Stegostoma tigrinum: one gene and its partner. The protein of the gene in region 2 purifies or fractionates together with the protein of the main gene of each other region. This does not show direct contact. Links are inferred from orthologs where the notes say so. Each region holds a gene or a part of one and is shown on either strand. Other genes may lie near its edges.

The links.
Region 1: the proteins of setdb1b (region 2) and activating transcription factor 7-interacting protein 1-like purify together in Homo sapiens (affinity purification with mass spectrometry; 6 studies listed by BioGRID and IntAct, counting the BioPlex papers as one, with this or other methods). This does not show direct contact. The link is inferred for Stegostoma tigrinum from reciprocal best matches to the Homo sapiens genes SETDB1 and ATF7IP.

What each region holds. Positions count from the first base shown.
Region 1 is NC_081391.1:8,934,976-8,942,345, reverse strand, and holds the start of activating transcription factor 7-interacting protein 1-like, read right to left. Parts: upstream 3,020-7,370; 5' UTR 2,478-3,019; intron 1-2,477. UniProt on the Homo sapiens protein: Recruiter that couples transcriptional factors to general transcription apparatus and thereby modulates transcription regulation and chromatin formation. Can both act as an activator or a repressor depending on the context.
Region 2 is NC_081400.1:5,506,658-5,514,604, forward strand, and holds the start of setdb1b (histone-lysine N-methyltransferase SETDB1-B), read left to right. Parts: upstream 1-4,918; 5' UTR 4,919-5,156; intron 5,157-7,947. UniProt on the Homo sapiens protein: Histone methyltransferase that specifically trimethylates 'Lys-9' of histone H3. H3 'Lys-9' trimethylation represents a specific tag for epigenetic transcriptional repression by recruiting HP1 (CBX1, CBX3 and/or CBX5) proteins to methylated histones.

The DNA of each region.
Region 1 (7,370 bases), on a different chromosome or scaffold from region 2:
ATAAAAATTTTTAAAAGTTGCGAGCAGTAGTATTATTTTTGTCCCAAACTGAGACAGAAAATTCATGTGAATGTCATTTCGAAATTCACTATTGTAGCAAGGCACCAAACAAATCAAGGACTTCTGATGCAAGACGGAGCATGTATATTTACAGATGTGCCAAATATCTAGCATTGTCTTGTGCTGCAGTAGATGTTATGCAAGTTCCTTCAATGGAAGTGTTCAATTTCGTTGATTTTTTACACAACTCTTTCAGCCTCTACTACTGGTTCAATTTTTAAAAAAAATTTCAAAAACACTCAAAACGTGAAGACAAACATTGAAATTCCTTACATAATTAAACATTCTGTATTGTCACAATGTTTAAAAGCACATTAGTGTGCCAGATGGGCTTTTACCAATTCTGTAGTCTTCAAGGTTTTCTGGGCCAATTCTACAAACTTCCAGATTTATTGAATTCAGTGTGATGACCTACCTTGATGTTATCACGGGGATTAATACAAAAAAAAAACCATTTAAGTATATTTAACAAACACACGTGTTTTAAGAATTGCATTTTTCAAATAAGGTTGGAGTAGTCAAAAAGCAAATGCTGGAAAACTGAAAGAGAGAGTTAGAAACACTCGGTCAGAGCCTGCAAAGATATAAGCTATTTACATTCAGGTGACCCGAAATGAAGAATATTCGATTCAGCTTGGAAAGCATTCAACCAGTACAGGAAAAGTGTGTCAAACAATTATTCTAATTACTATCTGAAAACAGGCAGCAATCCATTTGAAAGTTGAACATTAAACACGGCCACATATACCCAAGACAAAAGCCAATCTATTTTTGGCTACTTAAAGGATGTGACCAGCACAGGAAGGTGGAGTCAAGCACGATGATCATCCATTATGTTAATGAGTAGCAGTGTAGACTAAAAAGAGACTAAATGGCCTATTCCTATTTAGAGTAGATTTTATTCTGTAAGAATCATTTTTTCCCCCAGGTACTAACTGATGGAGATACTTATGCATTTTCTTTTGGTTTTGAGTTGAGTTTATAGCACTAAGCTCTCATTCTTTTTCATCGTAAAGCAAGACACTTTATTTGTTTTCCTTACAAAAATCACAAGCAGAACCCTTCCATTCCCACATCTCACTTGAGATATCATTTTTATACATGTCATAAAAGGCTAAAGGAGCTTTGAGAAAGAAACAAAGAGCTTATTGTCCAGTATCACTGTTCACAGTATCAAAAAAGGAAGAATTTGCCACTTGAAAGGGCAGGACCAATCCGTTGTAGATGATTTGCCAAAAGTTTACTGAACAGGGATTAAAGTCATGTCAGCTACATAAATATTCAATACGACATGAAGAGAACAAAGTTTAGTGTTGTCTACATTACAGATACACACTATACCAAGTCATAGGGCACACAATGGAAAATTAACAATCTAGGTGCAGTGTCAAATATCAACAAAATCAGTACAGAATTCATTGATGACTTTATTGTTAAAAATGTACAAAAGGATCACATGACAGTGGTCATCTCTCAGTTGACCCATAGTAGAACTAGGCGCACAAATTGTGTTTCAAGCATACATTTCCAGTTTGTTCAGAATTTTCACATGCAGCATAAATCAAGGATAGCGACAAATTTATTAGCTTGAATGTTTCTTTGATATTTATTCAAAAACAAAAACACCACCAAACTGGATCCCACTCAATTTCACATTATTACTTAAAATATACAATTGATATAATTGCATTGCATCAAACAGTGCAACAAAAATTACAAAATTAGAACTACCACCTGTTCACACACATTCTAGAGTAGGTAAGAAGTGGGGTGATAACTTGCAACAGTCTGCTGAAGCTAAACATTCATGCAGCAAAAAAAATCCTACAGCAATGCAGCAGGCAGATACTGCTCAAGCTCATTTGCATTCAGCTCATCCTCAGATTGAATTGAGAGAGGCAGGCAAAAGCAAAAAGAAAAATCAAAACGAGCAAATATAAAACAAAAAAAATCAGCTACATGATTAAATGCAAAGTTTTAGTAAAAAAAAACTAAAAAATTTAAAAATTGGAGATTTAAAGAACCAGATTAAATCTTACCTTAACCTAAAGTTTCCAACGCAGTTTCCACTTCATAAAAGAGAGAGAGAGGGAGCAGTAGGAAAAAGGGGGAAAGGGAGATGAGTGGGGAAGACGCTCCCGCAAAAACCGGGGCTTTAAGCGTGTGCGTGTGTCTACTGGTCCGCCTGGAGCACCGCACGCATGCGCAATGCACTGGTGGACTCGTGCAGCAGCCATGCAGCTCCAGTGCTGCTGCTGCTGCTGCCGCGCAGGCGCAGCCACGGAGCCGACCCGCAGGGGTTGAAGGCGCTCCATAGGAAAGGGAGAGCAAATAAATGCAAAACCGCAATTAAAAATCGGTCGACACACCTGGGGAAAAAATAAAACAGGTCCATATAAATGTAACGAATCGCTTACCTTTTCGGATGCGTTAAGGCGTCGTTTCATGAGGAGTTTTTTTTGGTTTGTTTTATCCCACCCTGTTAAAAACCTTCACCGCTTATCCACGATAACCTCACACCCACCCCGTCACAAAATGGCGGCCGTTCGTGGAGTGTATGCAAATTAGTAAAATATCGCTCATATGCAAATTAAGCAAAAAACGCATTCCGGGTACATCTCACTTCAAAACCTCCCCCCGTGATTTTTACATCTTTTCAAAGCGCGTAATTATGTATTTTTGTGTGTGTGGAAGATAAAGTAATACAGCAGTGTGATCTCTACTCTCCCTCCTTCGTCTCCCTCCACTGGAGTTGCTCGCTCTCCCCGCGCACCACTTAAGGGCGGCAGCTCATTCTCGCCCCATCTCGAGAGCGAGATGAATATGCAGATAACAACACCCGCATACATGCCATTAAGAACGTGGCTACCAATCAGCAGCCAGCGCGGGGGTGTTACATGCAAATCGCGGGTGCCTATATGCAAAACAGGGAGCCGCACTCGCCCGGCGCACCCGAAGCAGGCGGTGGGCGGGGCGTATGTAAATATTACGGACGGTCATTTGCATAACCGCCGTCGTTTTTTCAAAACCCATCCGTTGGCGCAGCGAAGCAGACGGTTACGTTCGTTGTTGATTTAGTCTCCTTTAGATTGGGTGGGTGGGGTTGGTGATCGTACTGGTCGTCGACGTCGTCGCGGTTCGTGTTGTTTTCAAAATAGCCCTTTGGAAACTGTGCATTTATGAAGTTTTCGAGTAGCTTCTATAAGATTGAAATCCCTTTTGTATTTTCTTTAAATAGAAAGTGTTCTCGTCGGAAAAGAAGTGGTTCCTCGAACACTGCATTCCAAAAAGAATGCACTTCGACAACCCATTGTACTGGTGTTAAATAAACGCCTGCATCGCTTGCTCTGTCAGCAGCGACGGTCGCTTGCAATTCTTTTTCCCACCCTTCGTCGCTTCTATGACTGACCGCCAGTGTCGCTGTTGAGTACAAAGGCGCTTCTGACAGCAGGAGTACGCGAGAACTCCTGACTGGACAGATTGAACATGTTTCAAATACCAATCCTGACTACTTCGGAGAGAGCTACGCACCCTCCAAAAACATCTTTCGGCTAACCTTTGGATGTTTTAACTTTAAATATCTTGCAACTGTTTAACTGTGATAAAAACACAGTCTTAAATACAGGTATTTTTGAAAACATAAGCTACATTTAATAACGTCGCTCTCCAATAGCCGGGACGTTAAGACTTTTTTTAAAAATTCGGAGATCGGAATCACAGCAGAAAAGAAATTGCTGGAGGAACTCAGAACCTTCAGACCTTTCTGGAGAAGGGTCACTAGACTCAAAACTGTTGTCTTTCGCGAATGCTGCCAGACGTGCTGAGTTTCACCAGCAAGTTTTGTTTTCAGAGTTCTTTTTAATTTTTTCATGAATAAGATTAGTGGATAGATTGTAGAATCTGGGGCTGCAGGTTGAGAGGAACTTTGATGAAGGTGTTCATGAGGGATTTGGACAGGGTAGATTTCCACTCTGTCAGAGTCCTATGGTTTTATATGTAGAAACTTCCAACCATCTGGTACGAGGATTGAGAACCCAAGGGTGCCAACTGAGAGTTAAGTAACAACAGTGCCATGTGGAAAAGCTTTTTTTAAATAAGACACTTTGTGTGATTAGACTCTTAGACTGCAATGCCTCAAAGTGTTGTCGAGCAGATCAAAGTCAAGTCTTCAAAAGATAATTAGATAATTTTTGGTGGTGGTGGGAACATAATTGCCACCTATGAGGAACAGCCATGTGGTGGAACTAACTGACTAGCCAGTAATGATGCAATTCTTCATCATGTAACCTTCTATCATTCTGTCGCCCAGCCTGGGAGAAATAGAATATCAAAAGGATACAAAATAAGAGATTGAAAAAGAAGTGCAAATCAATTGCAAGGCTTGTCAAGGATAGCACCAAAAATTTTCACAATATACTAAGAGGAAGAGGGTGGGCGGAGATAATGTGTACTTTCTTAAAGAGAGGTCAGATGATACCACAATAAATATTAACGATGGATAAAACAGTCATTCTTAAACAAGGACGAGTGGATCACTGGGAGATACTATTTGGTGGAATCAGTGAAACAAATGAGTTGCAGCTAGAAACATGCAGCAATTTGATGACAATCACTTCAGTTATTGGCGACTATTTCCGAGTATGTGGGGTATTATTGATAATTGTCTGCAAACCAATGACAGCCCATCACTCTCAAGGACTTTCTCACTTCGAGCTTGCATCCTACTCCTGTGAAAATATTTTGAATGCTGTCAGACTGGCTGATAATGACCAATTGACCCACATCCAATAAAAAGTAGGAGATAATTTCTTAAATATTATTTTTCCACAAGATCTTTCCTGTTCTCCTGAATGGCAGCAAAATAAACTGGATGCACAGCTGAGACAATAGAAAATTGTCTGTTTTATAATACCGAGTGTCTAAAGAAGCCGTCTTGACAATGGACTAGTCTGCAGTTACAACACAGGCTGTGAGGGTACATTGATGTCTTGCACCTGGAAATGTTACAGCGCAGCAAAGCCAGTTGCTGTGGTCTTCTGTGGAGAGAAACACAGTTAGCCTTTATTGGGATAGGCTTTCGCAGTTCTCAGTAGCTTAATGATTTCTGATTCTACAAGGTGGAATAGAAATTGGAGAATGATTAACAAATGTCATCGTCAAACATCTCATTAAGCATAGGCAGACCTGGTGATGAGAAACAAGGGAAACAATCTCACCTTCATCCATAAGTAAATATCTTTTTCTTAAACATAGAACACTCTTTAAAGGCTGTACCTTCATGCCATACTGTACTCCAATTTAATTGGGAACTGACCGTTAATCCACATCAAAAGATGTCCTTCGCCAAAAAAAATTGACAACTATTCCATTAGGGGGTCCAGTGGATTCAAGGAACATCCCACGTGCCTCAATGTAATTGAGAAATCAAATTGCACGTTTCCGGAAAGACCACTGATATTCAAAGGAATCATAAATAAAATAAAGAACTGCAGATGCTGGGAAGAGGGCCTGATGGCAATGAGTGATGGGGAAGACTGTGGAGGATGGGAATGGGAAAAGTGGTCTGAGGGAGAGGCAGTAGCTGATTATAGTGTGAGTTGGGGGAAAAATAACAAAGGGGTTGGTTACTTTGTGTGTATGGGTGAGGTGTGGGGAGGGGGATAGGAATTGTATTTGTCAAAATAGCCTCACAGAGCATTCTGCCACCAGAGAATATGGAACTGAAGAGTCATTGGACATAAAATATTAAGTGTGCTATCACCCCACAGATGATAGCAGACCTGCAGAAATTTGCCCGCAATTTCTGTTTTCATTTCAGATCTCCAGCTTCCTCAGTTCTGTTTTATTTTATACTTGTCTGTGTATTGTATGTATGGCAATAAGGCATTGTTCAGTATATAACTATGAATGTTTATGTATTAAACATCAAAATATTATACATCCTACAAATACGAGCATCTGTTTATAAAAGTATTTTATGAAAATGCTGTTATATACTGTCAATCATTATAAGCAAGTCAGATAAACTTTGGATTTTCCACTGAGAATTTCAAATGACACAAAATAATATCCATGGATGCTGCAGATTCAGTTTGAATTTGCTGCACACAATGCAGTCGTAAATCAAAATGAATTTAATTCACAAGGTAAGTAACTTAACTAAATGTGGAGCTGTGCTTCTTCCAACATGGAGAAAATGGAAAATGGATGTGCTTCTGAATTGATAAAGAATATACAATGCAACAGTTACTGGTCACTGAAGTTTCAACAAAACTTTCCATATTCTCTGGACTCTGGCAGAAGGCTCTGTGAAGCAACTTTGACAAACACAGCCCTTCTCCCCCTTCCCACATCCACCCAAACACACACACGCAGTAAGCAGCCCTTCTCTTCCTAACTCACACAGCAATCAGCTATTCTCCCACCCACAGAGAACCCCCCCCCCCACTGTAATTAGGCATGCTCTCCCCTACCACTCATTGCCATCAGGCCCTGTCCCCATTCCCCAGCACACACTATTATCGGCCCCTTTCCTCTTAAACCCGCATATGCACTATAGTCATCTTCGCTCCAAACAGTTTATTCAGCCTCTTGTTCTGCCCATGCACATTGTAGTCAGCTGCACATCACATCCACACATGATAATCAGCCTTACCCCACACAGAACATTCAGCCTCTTTCTCCTCACATAATGTCGCACAATGTTGTTATAACTAAGGTTGGACGTGTTTAGTGATCACTTCCGAGTCCCATTCCTCCAAACTTCATCATAAAATTCAAATTTAACCAAGTTGGTGATTTGGTCAAGTATATTTTTCTTGGAATGTGTCAGGTTCAGTATTAAGAGCAAATCAGAATTATTTGATCTTGTAGTGATTGGAACTGGGGCCAGTTGGATCACGTTGGCTATGAGATCCTTGATTGGGGCCATTAACCTGGGCTACTCAGGGAGCCCTGCCTGACAGATCTCAACAGGAGATTCAGGTCTCATTAGTCAAGGGATTGGCTTTGAGCTGATTGGTCAGAGCTCATGTACTGTGCACATGTAAATAAAGTGTGACTTGGTGATGGTATACTGGCCTTTGGGCAGTTATTTCAAGTCTGCAACAAATGATTGAGTTATTATCAAAACAAACATACTCAAAATAGATGCAGAGGTTATTGAGAAACAGTTGAATTACAAAAACATATGTATATATCAATTTTCCAAAGAAACCAGCACACACTAACACTTTCCCAACTCCTTACCTACACTTGACCAACCCCCATCCAACTCCTGTACTAGCTTCATTCCCGCCTCCTTGACCTGT
Region 2 (7,947 bases):
GGCACTACGGGACAATTTAGCAGGGCCAATCCACCCTAACCCGCACATCCCTGGGCACTACGGGACAATTTAGCATGGCCAATCCACCCTAACCCACACATCCCTGGGCACTACGGGACAATTTAGCACGGCCAATCCACCCTAACCCACACATCCCTGGGCACTACGAGACAATTTAGCACGGGCAATCCACCCCTAACCCGCACATCCCTGGGCACTATGGGACAATTTAGCACGGCCAATCCACCCCTAACCCACACATCCCTGGGCACTATGGGACAATTTAGCACGGCCAATCCACCCTAACCCGCACATCCCTGGGCACTACGGGACAATTTAGCACGTCCAATCCACCCTAACCCGCACATCCCTGGGCACTACGGGACAATTTAGCATGGCCAACCCACCCTAACCTGCACACCTTTGGACTGTGGGAGGAAACCGGAGCACCCGGAGGAAACCCACGCAGACACGGGGAGAATGTGCAAACTCCACACAGACAGTCGCCCGAGGGTGGAATCGAACGCAGGTCCCTGGCGCCGTGAAGCAGCAGCGCTAACCACTGAGACACCGGGTCACCAAGTTTCCTTCCCCTTTTTTAAGCTGATGTGAAGAGCACTGTATTTTGTTTGAATATATTTGACAATAAATGATTCAATTCAATTATTGTGAGTAGCTGAAGGGGCATGAAGCAGGATTCTTTATCCCAAGGGCATCAGATCTGATTTGGATTGATTTATTGTTGTCGCTTGTACCTAGGCACAGTGAAAAGTTGTGTTTTGCGAGCAGCACAGGCAGATCATACCACACAATGATCATCGGGTGACAGATCAGGGTGAGATATACGATGTAGTGGTTACAGAGGAGGTGCACAAAGAGCGAGATCAACATTTGAATTTTGGGAGGTCCACTTAGAAGTCTGATAACAGCAGGGAGAAAGCCCTCCTTGAATCTGTTAGTATGTGTATTTAAGCTTTTGTATCTTCTGCCCTCGTGGTGTTATTGCTAGACTATTAATCCAAGAGACCGAGGTGATGTTCAGGGGATCCAGGTTCGAATCCCACGACGGCAGATGGTGGAATTTGAATTCAATCAAAACAAAATCTGCAATTAAGAGCTACCGAAGACCGTAAATCTGTGGCTGAATGTCGGAAAATCCCATCTGGTTCACTGATGTCCTTCAGGGAAGGGAATCTGCCCTCCTTACCTGGTCTGGCCTACATGTGACTCCAGACCTACAGCACTATGGTTGACTCCCAGTTGCCCTCTGAAATGGCCAAGCAAGCCAATCAGCTCTACCAATCGCTACAAAGTCTCAACGAAATGAAACTGGTCGGATCACCTGGCATGGCACTGTAAAGGAAAATGGCAGAAACAGCCCTGTCGACCCTGCGAAGCCCTCCTCACTAACATCTGGGGGTTAGTGCCAACACTGGGAGGGCTGTCTCACAGACTAGTCAAGCAACCGTCTGACATAGTCACATTCACAGAATCACACCTTACAGACACTGTCCCAGACACCACCATCACCATCCCTGGGTATGTCCTGTCCGCCACCCGGCAGAACAGACCCAGCAGAGGGGGCCGCACAGTGGGATACAGTTGGGAGGCAGTTGCTCTGGGAGTCCTCGACATTGACTCCGGACGACATGAAGTCTCATGGCTTCAGGTTTAACACGGGCAAGGGAACCTCCTGCTGGTTACCACATACCGTCCTCCCCCAGTTGATGAATCGGTACGCCCTCCATGTTGAATATCACTTAGAGGAAGCACTGAGGATGGCAAGGGCACAAAATGTACTCTGGGTGGGGGACTTCACTGTCCACCACCAAGAGAGGCTCGGCAGCTGTCCTACTGATCGGGCTGGTCGGGTCCTAAAGGACACAGCTGCTAGGCTGGGTCTGCAGCAGGTGGTGAGGGAACCAACAAGAGGGGAAACACATATTTGACCTCATCCTTACCAATCTGCCAGCTGCAGAGGCATCTGCCCATGACAGTATCGGTAAGAGTGACCATCTCACAGTCCTTGTGGAGACAGAGTCCCGCCTTCACATTGAGAATAACCTCCATTGTGTGTGTGGCACTATCCCCGTGCTCAATGGGACAGACTTCACACAGATCTCGCAAATCAGGACTCGGCATCCCTGAGACGCTGTGGGCCATCAACAGCAGCAGAATTGTACTCCTGCACAATCTGTAACCTCACAACCTGGTGTATCCCCCACCCAACCATTACCATCAAGCCAGGGGATCGACCCTGGTTCAAAGGAGAGTGCAGGAGGGTATGCCAGGAGCAGCACCAGGCAGACCTGAAGGTGAGGGATCAATCTGGTGAAGCCACCAGACAGGACTACTTGCACACCAAACAGCGAAAGCAGCAAGTGAGAGACACAGCCTAGCGATCCCACAGCCAACAGATCAGGTCTAAGCTCTGCAGTCCTGCCACATCCAGTGGCGAATGGTGGGGGTCAATTAAACAACTCACCGAGGGATGGGGCTCTGCAAATATCCCCGTCCTCAATGATGGAAGAGCCCAGCACATCAGTGCAAAAAGTAAGGCTGGAGCTTTCGCAGCAATCTTCAGCCAGAAGTGCCGATCTATCTCGGCCTCCTGCAGTGGTCCCCAGTGTCACGGATACCAGTCTTCAGCCAATTCGATTCACTCCACGCGATGTCAAGAAACGGTTGGAGACACTGGATACTGCAAAGGCCACAGGCCCGGAGAGCATTCCGGCAATAGGACTGAAGACTTGTGCTCCAGAACTTGCCGCTCCCCTACCCAAGCTGTTCCAGTGCAGCTACAACCCTGGCATCTACCTGGCAATGTGGAAAATTGCCCAAGTATGTCCTGGACACAAAGAGCAGGACCAATCCAGCCTGGCCCTTTACTGCCCCATCAGTCTCGATCATCATGAAAGTGATGGAAGGTGTCAGTAACAGCGCTATCAAACAGTACATGCTCAGCAGTAACCTGCTCAGTGACATCCAGTTTGGGTTTCGCCAGGGCCACTCAGCTTCTGACCCCATTACATCCTCGGTTCAAACATGGACCAAAGAGCTGAATCGCAGAGGTGAGGTGAGAGTGACAGCCCTTGACATCAAGGCTGCATTCGACTGAGTGTGGCATCAAGGAGCCCTAGAACTGGAATCAATGGGTATCAGGGGCAAACTCTCCAGTGTTTGGAGTCTTAGGTGACACATAGGAAGATGGTCGTGGTTGTGGGAGGTCAGTCATCTCAGCTCCAGGACACCTCTGCAGGAGTTCCTCAGGGTAGTGTCCTCAGCCCAACCATCTTCAGCTGTTTCATCAACGGCCTTCCCTCCATCATAAGGTCAGAAGTGGGGATGTTCGCCGATGATTGCACAATGTTCAGCACCACTCGTGACTCCTCAGGTACTGAAGCAGGCCATGTTCAAATCCAACAAGATTTGGACAATATCCAGGCTTGGGCTGACAAGTGGCAAGTAACGTTCATGCCAGCCAAATGCCAGGCTATGACCATCACCAATAACAGACAATTGTCCCTTGACATTCAATGGTGTTTCCAACACTGAATCCCCCACTATGATTGATCAGAAACTCAACTGGACTGACTACATAAACACAATGGCTACAACAGCAGGCCAGAAGTGTTACTGCGGTGAGTAACACACTTCCTGATTCCCCAAAGTCTGTCAACCTTCTCCAAGGCACAGGTCAGGAGTGTATCAGAGATTATGGGAACTGCAGATGCTGGAGAATCTGAGATAACAAAGTGTGGAGCTGGATGAACACAGCAGGCCAAGCAGCATCTTAGGAGCACAAAAGCTGACGTTTCAGGCCTAGACCCTTCTCAGAGAGGGGGATGGAGGGTCTCTGATGAAACATCAGCTCTCCTGCTCCTAAGATGCTGCTTGGCCTGCTGTGTTCATCCAGCTCCACACCTTGTTATCTTGGCGTCTTTGATGACGTTGGTTGCATTTATCGTTACAAACGTGAGGCTAAGCCAGAAAATTGGCGTAGTTTGAAGAATTAAGCACGTGCTTGAGGTTTGGTTGAGGAAATCCATGATTGGTTTGACTGCTCCAGCTGCCCCACTCGGTGCCCAGACTCACCGTCGCCAACTGGAGCTGGAGGTCCCAATTACGTGAAGAAAGGCCTTGTCTCTGTGATCAGAGCCTGGGAATCGATGATCTAGCCGAGCGAGGTCAGAGGTTTTGCTGCACTGAAAATAGCTGGGTGTGGACCACCTGCTGGTTCATGCAGATGGCCATTCGGCCCTTCCAAACTTCTACCCCACTCCACAACAGGGTGACCATTGTCACTGGCCAGCCCATGTCTCTGCCCATCCATTGGTAGAAGGTCCTATTATTGAGCTGGATGGGCGGGACTGCAAATGTTCCAAAAGCCGATTGGCCGGCTTATCAGTCGATCAGGAAGAATTGCCAATCATTACGGAGGGGCTTGGAGATGGTTGGGCGAGCGAAACGTCAATTACAAATGGGCGGCATAATCGGCGGTGACTGTTACCCTTCCATCTTCCCATTGGCAGGGGAGGACGTCGATAAACGGGTTGGTATGCGCGGGAGTCCAGTGGCGTTCTCCGTCTGGGAAGACAACCGCTCGATTGGCTGCTTCCATGTCGATCGCGGCTGATAAGGTGGGACCACATGCGATTGGTCAAGACTCCAGCATTTCGATGCCCATGTGGGTGGGTCCTCATCGCATTGGACAAGACCACCGTCGATCAGGAGGAGAGGAGGCTGGACCCCATTTGACTCATCTAGACATCGGTCAATCAGACGCTGCGGGGGTGGGGCCTCATTCAATTGGGCCGCGTGCCCGTCACTCGCGGACCGTGGGGGGCGGGGCCGGCACCGATTGGCCGCGGTCCCCGTCAATCCGGTTGGCCGGCAGCGACGTTGGCCAATCCCCGTTCAAGGTGGGTCGCAGCCCGGCGTGTTTGGGCGACTCACCAGCAGCCGTCTTTTCAAAACATCCTTTCACTCGGGGGCCTGGGAGGCGGCGGAACGGTGATGCACTTCAATTAAAACCATGTAGCCTTTCCACCGCAATTTGCAAAGTCACACAGAGCGAGCGAGCCTGTTAAAGAAATTTAGAGAAGCCGCGGCCTAGTGGTTAGGCGCTAGGCCCAGCCTCACGGCTGCAGGAGAAGGTGAGATGCTCGGATTGTTTTCTTATTGTTTGTCTCCTGCAGGTTGGTGCGGAGGTTCGCTCGTCGTCTTCTTTAGACTCCACGTTCCCGCACTGCGGCCGGGTGTTTCTGCCTCCCGGAGCCTTTAATCTTCCCATTTTTTTTCTTTCACTTTTTTTTCAAAATTGCCTCGGAGAGCCGTCCACTGGAGTAGTGCGGCTGCGCGAAAGGGCCGTGCGCTGCTGCACCGCGCGTGAGTATGCGCGTTGACCCCGCGGAGCATGCTGGGGATTGTAGTTCCTGGCTCCCCCTTTTTCTCTCTCTCTCTCTCTCTCTCTCTCTCTCTCTCTCTCTCTCTCTCTCTCTCTCTCTCTCTCTCTCTCTCTCTCTCTCTCTCTCTCTCTCTCTCTGTGTCTGTCTGTCTCTTTCTTTCCCTCTCTCTCTCTGTCTCTTTTTTGTTTCCCCTTTTTCCCCCAAATCCTCCCTTTCACCAAATCCCCCCACCCCCCTCTACTGTGGCTCGAGGAATCAGCCCTATGTAATATTGCCTGTGAATAACCCAATTCCTGAGAAAAAGGTCAGAATGTGTAAGAATCTTAGGATCCCTACAGTGTGGAAACAGACCATTCAGGCCAACAAGTCCACACTGCCCCTCCAAAGAGCATCCCACCTAGACCCAATCCCCTGCCCTGCATCTCCCATGTCTAACTTATGTCACCTAAACTTCCCCAGGCACTATGGGCAATTTAGCACGGCCAATCCACCCTAAACTGCACGTCTTTGGACCTGTGGGAGGGAGCTGGAGCGCCCGGAGGAAACCCCACGCAGACACGGGGAGAACGTGCAAACTCCGCACAGACAGTCGCCCGATGTTGGAATCGAACCTGGTTCCCTGGCACCGTGAGGCAGCAGTGCTAACCACTGAGCCACCGTGCTGCCCATATGAGCACCATGCCACTGGGTGGTCTCGAGCCACCAATTTTAGTTTCAAGCTAGGCCATTTCAGATCCACCTGTTATTGTGGTGCATTCACTAGTTTTTGGGCCTGACTAAACAGATTCTGCCCTGGGAAATGTTGAAATAGGAGCTTGAGTGGTTATATCTGACCCAGCAAGCCTGTTCAATTGTCCCTTCCTATTTCCTTTGTCACTTATTGTCTCGAAGAAACTTCTTTGCCTTAAATACATTCAGTGACTCCACAGTCTCAAATCATAGAAAATTCTGCCACATTATCAGTGAAGAAATTTCTCACCTCTGTATGAAAGCAGCAGCTCGGTGCCGCAATGGTTAGACAATAGACAATAGGTGCTGGAGTAGGCCATTCGGCCCTTCGAGCCAGCACCACCATTCATTATGATCATGGCTGATCATCCACAATCAGTATCCTGTTCCTGCCTTACCCCCGTAACCCTTGATTCCACTATCTTTAAGAGCTCTATCCATCTCTTTCTTGAAAGCGTCCAGAGAGTTGGCCTCCACTGCCTTCTGGGGCAGAGCATTCCATATATCCACCACTGTCTGGGTGAAGAAGTTTTTCCTCAACTCTTGTTCTAAATGGCCTACCCCTTATTTTTAAACTGCGTCCTCTAGTCCTGGACTCACCCATCAGCGGAAACATGCTCCCTGCCTCCACAGTGTCCAATCCCTTAGTAATCTTCCACGTCTCAATCAGATCCCCTCTCATCCTCCTAAACTCAAGTGTATGCAAGCCCAGTCGCTCCAATCTTTCAACATATGATAGTCCCGCCATTCTCGGAATTGACCTCGTGAACCTATGCTGCCCTCCGTTAATAGCAAGAATGTCCTTCCTCAAATTGGGAGACCAAAACTGCACACAATACTCCAGGTGCGGTCTCACCAGGGCCCTGTAGAGCTGCAGAAGGACCTCTTTGCTCCTATACTCAATTCCTCTTGTTATGAAGGCCAGCATGCTATTAGCTTTCTTCACTGCCTGCTGTACCTGCATGCTTGCTTTCATTGACTGATGCACAAGAACACCTAGATCTCGTTCTGCTTCCCCTTTACCATCTCAATGGAGTCAAGTTAGGTAATCTGCCTTCCGGTTCTTGCCACCAAAGTTTATAACCGCACATTTATCCAAATTAAACTGCATCTGCCATGCATCCGTCCACTCACCTAGCCTGTCCAAGTCACCCTGTATTCTCATAACATCCTCCTCACATTTCACACTGCCACCCAACTTTGTGTCATCAACAAATTTGCTAATATTACTTCTAATGCCTTCGTGTATATCATTAATGTATATCGTAAACAGCTGCGGTCCCAGCACTGAACCTTGTGGAATGCCACTGGTCACTGCCTGCCATTCCGAAAGGGACCCGTTTATCACTCCTCTTTGCTTCCTGTCAGCCAGCCAATGTTCAATCCAACTCTATTTTGCCCCCAATACCATGTGCCCTAATTTTGTTCACCAATCTCCTATGCGGGACTTTATCAAAGGCTTTCTGAAAGTCCAGGTACACGACATCCACTGGCTCTCCCTTATCCATCTTCATAGATACATCCTCAAAAAATTCCAGAAGATTAGTCAAGCATGATTTCCCCTTCGTAAATCCATGCTGACTCTGACTTATTCTGTTACTGCTATCCAAATGAGTTGTAATTTCATCTTTTATAATTGACTCCAGCACCTTTCCCACCACTGACGTCCGGCTAACCGGTCTGTAATTTCCTGTTTTCTCTCTCCCTCCTTTCTTGAAAAGTGGGACAACATTTGCCACCCTCCAATCCACAGGAACTGATCCTGAATCTATAGAACCTTGGAAAATAATTACCAATGCGTCCACAATTT